Linked DNA regions of Danio rerio. The protein of the gene in region 1 interacts with the protein of each later gene in a biochemical or structural test. Links are inferred from orthologs where the notes say so. Each region holds a gene or a part of one and is shown on either strand. Other genes may lie near its edges.

The links.
Region 2: the proteins of araf (region 1) and gna12a form a complex in vitro, tested with the Homo sapiens proteins (2 studies listed by BioGRID). The link is inferred for Danio rerio from reciprocal best matches to the Homo sapiens genes ARAF and GNA12.

Annotation. Positions count from the first base shown.
Region 1 is NC_133180.1:27,471,669-27,475,497, reverse strand, and holds part of araf (serine/threonine-protein kinase A-Raf), read right to left. Parts: coding exon 3,737-3,829; intron 3,584-3,736; coding exon 3,407-3,583; intron 1,744-3,406; coding exon 1,697-1,743; intron 1,423-1,696; coding exon 1,304-1,422; intron 1,206-1,303; coding exon 1,074-1,205; intron 208-1,073; coding exon 73-207; intron 1-72. UniProt on the Homo sapiens protein: Involved in the transduction of mitogenic signals from the cell membrane to the nucleus. May also regulate the TOR signaling cascade. Phosphorylates PFKFB2.
Region 2 is NC_133178.1:40,653,317-40,657,790, forward strand, and holds the start of gna12a (guanine nucleotide-binding protein subunit alpha-12a), read left to right. Parts: upstream 1-1,405; 5' UTR 1,406-1,812; coding exon 1,813-2,133; intron 2,134-4,474. UniProt on the Homo sapiens protein: Guanine nucleotide-binding proteins (G proteins) are involved as modulators or transducers in various transmembrane signaling systems. Activates effector molecule RhoA by binding and activating RhoGEFs (ARHGEF12/LARG).

The DNA.
Region 1 (3,829 bases):
TTTGACAGGGAAGGATTTCTCGTGAGCCTGGATTTGACCTAAACACAAAGAACAGCTGTGGTTTATTCTCACCTGTGGGAAGAGAGGCCGTTCATCCCGTTTGAATTTCAGACAGTCAATGATGAGCCTCTTCATTGATTTCGGGCAGTTACTGTATAATTTACTGAGGTCTGGAGACAAGTAACCACGACCCACCATGAAAATAATCTACAGGAAGACAAAAAAAAAAAAAAAAAAAAAAAAATCAAACACAGCATTTCATAAATTAAACACACAAACACTTCTCCTGTTTTCCATACCAGAAATAGTTGTTTGTTCTGTTATTTATTGCCACATCGGAAACGTATGGCTTTTCATGGAAAGATTAATATAGATAAAGACATGCATAACAACTTCATATTCAATAAGAGAAATAAAACATTTTACATTAAAAACATTAGATATGATGCCTCAGTTCAATAAATGATAAAAAAAAAACATCCATTGTTAGAACTGCGTTGTTTTGGTCTGTTTTTGTATCTTTTTGTCTGTTGTATGACTTCAGCGCACCTGATGCTCGTCGTCGATTTAAATGCAGAGCGAGAGTTCTTTAGGGTCGCTGTTCCTTTATTGTTTGAAAAGTTGGTCAGAACTGCGCTCCAATTTGTGTCATTATGTTTTGTTTTGCATCCACGCACTAACACTGACAAAACGTCCTGCATCCATTCATTTGCCCTTCACGCTGACTGAACCCACTGATAATAATGTTTTGATTATGTTATTTTCAATTGTGTTAGAATAAATATTATGTTTGACTGTATTTCGCTGTGTCATCTCCCTTAATGTTACATCTTTGAGCCAGGTCTAACACCATCAAAGTGTTCTCAGTATAAAAATCTTGTCTAGTAGACTTAAAAAATAAATAAATAAATAAAAAAAAGTCCCATTTAAGAAAAAAAAAAAGTCGTAATGTAAATTTGACTACAAGTAAATGACATAATTTTAATTTTTGCCTGAACAACTGTCAGCTACAAACTCATGAAACTATACAGAAATTCCTGCAACTGTCAAAGCAATGATGACCAATGCCAGACCTGATCGCGGTTGTTGATATTCGAATAAGGCAAAGTCCCAGACATCAGTTCGTAGAGCACCACTCCATATCCATACACATCAGACTGGAAGGTGTACGGGTTAGTGTCTTGCATTCTGATCACCTCAGGAGCCTGAGAAACAACAACAGTGTTACAAGCATTAAACTACTTGACATATGCAGTAAGCTACCAGGTATAAGATTTATTGATGCTTGGTGACTGATTCTCACCATCCACAGGATGGAGCCACTGGGCTGTTCGACCTGCTGTGAGCCACTCCAGCGAGACTTTACTGTAGCCAAGCCAAAGTCACCGATTTTTACTGTCCAGCCTTCATGCAGGAAGATATCTGACACAAGAGCTCAAGAATATCATGCAGAACACAGTTAAAATAACTATACTAGTAGGGGGAAAACTATAAAAAAAAATCCTTACCTTGCAAAAGATTTTTCATTAATATCCACAACAACCCGTTTGAACTAAAAATGCATGTTAAAACAACTATTAACAGATGTGGTACTAATAATGACATCTACTGAAAGCAAAAGGGTCGAATGTGATCCATCCTGCAACAGATCTCTCACACAATACAGGCAATACATAATACATTATGGAAAGGATACTATTAGATTTCAAGTCCCGATGAATGATATTCTTGGCGTGAAGATAACTGTCAAGAAAAGCAACCAAAGTTAAAGCTTAAGGTAAGAATAAAGTTTCCAAAGCTCTGTATAAAGAGCTTACATAAAAGGTGGGACAATCATAAAGCATTAGTGCATTTCTGGAAATGTGAATTTTCCTGTGCAAGTGTGTTCTGGGATTCTGAAATGTAAGAGGTATTTTCTGATCGGAGCACCTCAAATTTATTTTAGGAAGTTGCAAGTGTGCTTTTACAAGTTCAAATCACAGTCTATCACTATCAGTTATTCATGATGCAAATAGCAACCATTCTTAGCCACCATTGTTGATATTGCATTAATGATATATTGTTAGTTAGCCTGGGTGTGAAGAACCAATAAATGATCAGCATGTAATGGTATTTTTCATTTTGGAAGTAGCTTTTCAACAGTTCTTATATTTCTTTTGAGATTTAAGATCCTTAAAAGGATAGTTTAGCGTTAGCTCATACTCAAATGGTTATAAAGTTTATAAACTTGTTTTTCAGTTGAACACAAAACTAAATATTCTGATGAAATTTGGAAGTCTATGGAAGTCAATAGCAATTTTTCCCAAACTTTCCTCTGCAGCACATCTTTGTGGTCAACAGAAGAAAGAAATTCAAACAAGTTTGAAAAAAGAGAAGGATAAGTAAATGATGGCGGAATATAAATTTTGGGGGAACTATCTCTAATCTCTATCTGACCGACTATCTCTATCTTTAATAGGGTTTATGTAGATTTCACAAAGTTAAATTTAAGACTTTTAAGACCATTATATAAAAAAAAATCTGACTTTTTATATTATAATTTGTTATTTATTAACCAAATATTTTAATTAAATTGGCAAAACAAGCTAACCCTAGTAGTACTCATGCATATTTTTCAATAAAATCTAAAAAAATAAACTAGAATAACTATTTTTTTTAAAAACTATAATACACTAAAATGTACGCACAACAGTCAGCCTCCTCACCATATATGGACTATAAATACACAGAGAACTTTTAAACATTAATTATTGTAAGGACGATAATTAAACCAAATTGTAAATTGTTACAAACAAATTTTTTAAAAGTTCTATAGAGATGAATTGTTGGCGATTGTATGGGTGTTGGGTAGCTTTACACAGACATAGGAAAATTAAAACCTGTTTACAATTATTTAAAGACCTACAAGACAAACTTTCAGTGAATTTAAGACTTTTTAAACGCCTAAAATTTAGTTTATGAAATTTAAGACATTTTAAGACTTTAAGATCCCACGGACACCCTGCTTTAAGCTTACCAAGGCTACATCTATCTTGATAATATAATAAAATAATTTCTTATTTTACTATTTATTAAAATCATAGAAATGCATTTTGTGAAGGCAAAAGCTCATAGAAGCACCCAATGTCATAAAAAGCTGGTTTGCTGCTCATAAAACATTTATTATTATTATCAAGTTAAGATTTACAAATTAAAAACCTTAACCATTTAACTAACTGAATGTACCTTTTGGCAAATAAAATATGATTTGCCCAAAAAAAAAAGCATTTTTAAAGTCTTACTTAAATGTACTTAAAATATCACATTTTATTGCCTTTTTAAAGAGCAAAGATTCTGCATGCAAGATAAGAACTAAACTTATACTGCTGAAATGAAGAAAAAAAAGAAAACAATTTAATATTCTTACTCCATGCCCTGTGCTGTTTGGCGAGCAACATCAATGCGCCGCATGGTGTCAAACTTGGTCTCAGTGACATGCAGATGGCGATACAGACTGCTGCCTTCACACCACTGTGTGATAATGGCAAAATTAGGCCTTGTCATGAAGCCCATAAACAGCAGAATGTTTACATGGCGTGTTTTTCTGTAGAACAAAACAGATATATAGTCAATGAAACACTCAATGGTTGTAGCAGCTAAAGACATTACTGTTGTAACTAAGCAGCATTACTGCAAACTACTGCTTACTAATGATCAAAGATGTTCTGTGAAGCTCTAAATCCCACTGACGACTCACCGTAAAACCTGCATCTCATTTTTAAAGGCCTGGAGCTGCTCCGGTGTGGGCTCTGTCACTTTAAGAATTTTGATGGCCACGTCTCCATGCCAC
Region 2 (4,474 bases), on another chromosome or scaffold:
TGAAGTCAAATGTTATCAAAACGTGTAGGCGCAGTTTAAAAAAAAATAGCCATGTCAGTAAAAGCTTTTATTATTTTCCCCCATTTGTCGAGTGTCTTAGACTGACTTTTGCTGTTTATACTAATTAGGCTGTTGTTGTTAAATGAATTTTAAGAGAGGCTAGAAGAAAATTGTGAAGCTCTTTTTAATATTTGTTTATTATAAATCTTTAGGAAATATTTACATTTAAAGGTACATCGAAAATGGAGGATACTACAAGCTAATCCAACTACAGATAGTGATTAAAATGTCACTTATTGGAGTATTTAAATATAATTAAAAGGAAAATGAAGTAAATAACTGCAAAAAGTCCACATTTTGAGAAAAAAAACAACCCCTTTCCCCAGGACTGCAGATAAATAGATAGACAGATAGATAGACAGACAGACAGACAGGCAGACAGGCAGGCAGGCAGACAGACAGACAGACAGACAGACAGACAGACAGACAGACAGACAGACAGATAGATAGATAGATAGATAGATAGATAGATAGATAGATAGATAGATAGATAGATAGATAGATAGATAGATAGATAGATAGATAGATAGATAGATAGATAGATGAATAGATAGATAGATAGATAGATAGAGATAGATAGATAGATAGATAGAAATGCCCTTAATACATAATAATAATTATATAAATAATAATAATTATAACAATAAATAGCAACAACAACGATAATAATAATAATAATAATAATAATAATAATAATAATAATACGAAGAAGAAGAAGAAGAAGAATGTGGGACCTCTGAAATAGGGACTAATTCAACAGAAAATGAATAAATGAATAAACTAAAAATGGCCAGTTTATCAGTTTATAAGGAGTTTGTGTATCAGTGACTGGATTGATTTATTGAAGATGACCAAATCTATAGTTGTGGCCTGCTTTAGCTCTATGACAGGAAAGAAAATAAATAAATAAAGGCTAATTATATCATATGACATTCACCTGACTAAGTAATGAGGTGTGTTTGAATTTGTTTGTCATGAAGATTAAGCATTCAAGACTAAGAATGAGTATGAATTACCTTTTCAACAGCTAGGCTGGCATGTTAGTAGATTTACAGGAGTAGAAGGAGGGAATTCTCATTTGTTTTGTAAAATGTTTTATGCTTATTATTAAAGTTATCAGCACTTTTCCTCATGTAAAACTGTCACCGCCTCGCAGACAGAAGTAGATAACAGACAGACAGCCAGGGGCCACTGTGTAACAACGACATTTGTGACACGGACTGGAATCCCCCTTCATGTCCGAACAAACACCCTTCTCGCGCGCTCGCGCCCCCTGCCGGCCACGCGCTCAACAGGGGCGTCAGTCGCTCAGTCAAAGAAACTTCCCAGAACTGAGTGGAAACATCAGAAAGTCGCTCGCGCTCCTCCAGAATGAACTTTTGGGACTACCAGTATGTAAAGGAATGCGTTTTTCAGCGAATTAACATTTCCTGACCATATTTATCGCTTGATTTTTATTGTACTGTCACGAACAGTGGATTTGTTTGTATAATTTCTTTAAAGTTTTTTTAGCGGACAGCAGTGGTGGTCGCTTTGCTGTGGAAAGGATCTCTATTCAGCTTTCCTCAACAAATGCCTTTAGAATAATGGAGGAAAGTGTCCGCGGTGATTCGGTTTTACTCATTTAGTGTCTCTTTAAATTGTTAACACTTGTAGACAGATGAGCTGAGTAGATTTTATCCGAAAGATAAAGTTCTTTGGCACTTTAATGAGTAGATCAGGTGATAACTGACCGTGTTAAAGCTGGACAGGATGGCTGGCGTGGTGCGCACCCTGAGCCGGTGTTTACTGCCCGCTGAGGCCGCTCACGATGACAGGAGTACCGGGAAAGATCGCACCCGCGAGCGGGACGTGAACCGGGAGCGCGAGGCGAAGCGGCGCAGTCGCGAGATCGACTCGATGCTGAAGCGCGAGCGGCGCTCCATACGACGGCTGGTGAAGATCCTGCTGCTGGGCGCCGGAGAGAGCGGCAAGTCCACATTCCTCAAGCAGATGAGGATCATCCACGGAAAAGAGTTTGACCAGAAAGCGCTGCTCGACTTCAGGGATACCATCTTTGAGAATGTCATCAAGGTAACGATTTGTCAATCGTGACAGTTTGCTTTACTTTTTTTGTTGCTGTGGTACAGTAGTTTCTGACACCTTACTTGTCTGTTTTGTTTCTTAAAATTTTTTTTTTACTTTGCTGCGGCTTCCTTTTCATTTTGGTCTATAAATAGCCTACACAATTAGCTGATCAATAAGATAATATAGTCAATAAGTTTGACGAAACAAAAGGATAAACAATTTGTAAAAGAATGAGTTGAGTAGCCTACATAAGTATTAGACGATTAAAAATAAAAGATCTGACATGATTTCTAAAGTTTTTTATATCAATTAATAAAATATGAAATAAAACAAATAGATGATGGATGGGTAGACATTTTGAAATGCTACCTATGGAAGTTTGCACTGTTGATTAGCACTAATCCAGACATGAGCATGTCAAATTTGCTAAAATAATAATATTATATAGTAATATTATATATTTATAAACATTCTCTTTTCAGGATTGATGAACTGGTAAACTATGTCCATTGTCCAAATATTAATTCTATTATATACAACTAAACACTAGCATTTTCGTGTTTCACATATGCAGAATATGTAGATGCAATGCAAATTATGCCGTCATGATTTAGTTATTCCAAGGTCATCAAGGCCAAGTTTCCTTGCCTAAACTGGCCTGTTTCCTGTTGTGACACACTTTAGTCCGAATAAGTAAAACAAACAATGCTTCATACAAATGAAAATCTCTCTCTCTCTCTCTCTCTCTCTCTCTCTCACACACATTTTTTGCAAACAACAGTAATTAATACTTCCCCAAACTCTGTGCTTCAGCCGCCAGAAAAAGCTCACATGAACTAAAATCACATGTAGCCCACACAAACTGCTAAATAAGCTGTATCAGAAGCTGAAGTCAGTGATAAATTTTTTTTTTTAAATGTTAAAAAACTCAAACATACTGTACAGTAAACAAAACATAACTAACAACTAACAAAATACAGTGAACATGTAGAAATGCCCTGCTAACAAATAAGTTATAAATACTGAATAGCCTCTTTGAAGTGAAAGTACAGTGTTAGGTGAGATTGTTTTCAAACTGTTTTCAATGTTAAAACACAAATTTAGCAGTTACATTTACATTTCAGGAGGTGTATTACTGTTCTTGTAAACATCCTCTGAAATTCATTCACATTTTTTAGTGCTATAACTAGTAGGAAAGCATCTTCATGTCTGACTCTGTCCTCCATGCGCTCATGCTCTTTTGTTCTTCACACTTTCCGTCTCAGAAGTAATGGTACGAGAGCTGTCACTCTGGTGGCATCTTTTGAAAAAGTTACAGTACGCATTTGTAGCAAAATGGTTTACATTAGTACAGTGGCCCCTCGCTATAGCACAGTTAACTTTTCGCTGCCTCGCAGTTTTGCAAAAAAGCAAACATTAAACTCACAACACAACGGAAATGCTCCCAACCACTAGATAGCAGTGAAACACATAATACGTCTTCTTTTTTCACTTGTCGAATGGCGAGTTACACTGAAACAGTGATTATCTCTAGAAGCCACTAAAAATGTATCACAATACATTGCTGCCAAGGAGCAAGAGGCGGGTTTTACCTTAGGGCACTCATCTGCAAAGTTAGCGAAATGAACAAACACCCGTGAGATGCGCCAAAGATCTAGCTATAGAATACACAAAGCATGTCACTCGTATAGTTTTGGATGAGGAAAAGTGTAACGGTCAATATGGCGAATGAAGCCCCGCCTACTTGTACAGCAGCCAATCATTGATTGCTATAGAATGATGTTTCTCCAGGGGAGAAGCTCGGACCAGACGTGTGCTTTTATGACAGTTTGGTGGTCAACAAACACACTGGAATTTCAGTGAATACTTGCTTCACAGACACGAGAAATATATCCACGTGAAGCTTGAAATCTGAACTTTTTGAATGAACCAACTACACTTGAACACAAAAGTTTTTTGGTTTTGTAATCTGTATGAAACGAACGTGAGGTACAGTCCTGTCAAATGCACAGCACATCACAGCAATTACTAAAATGCCCATAATCTGTAAACAAAGAGTCGCTGTCATTTCTGGAGGTGATTCGTCATCAAGACCAAGTTGTGAATTACTTCAGAAGACCTGCTCGATCTGACAAATCATTATACATGCTTAGAGGATTATAATGCCTTAAACGCCTTTAAATGATGTTGGTGTCGTGATCTCGTTTCTTTCAAGTGTGCATTAGCTTGGGCATCCTGAAAAAAATGTCGGTTTTGATTCATTCGAACGTTTAGAAACGAAACTTGAGACAGCATTTCTGTTGCGTTTGCTCTCTGAGTGTTTGCTTTCTGAAATGCTTGTGTGTTG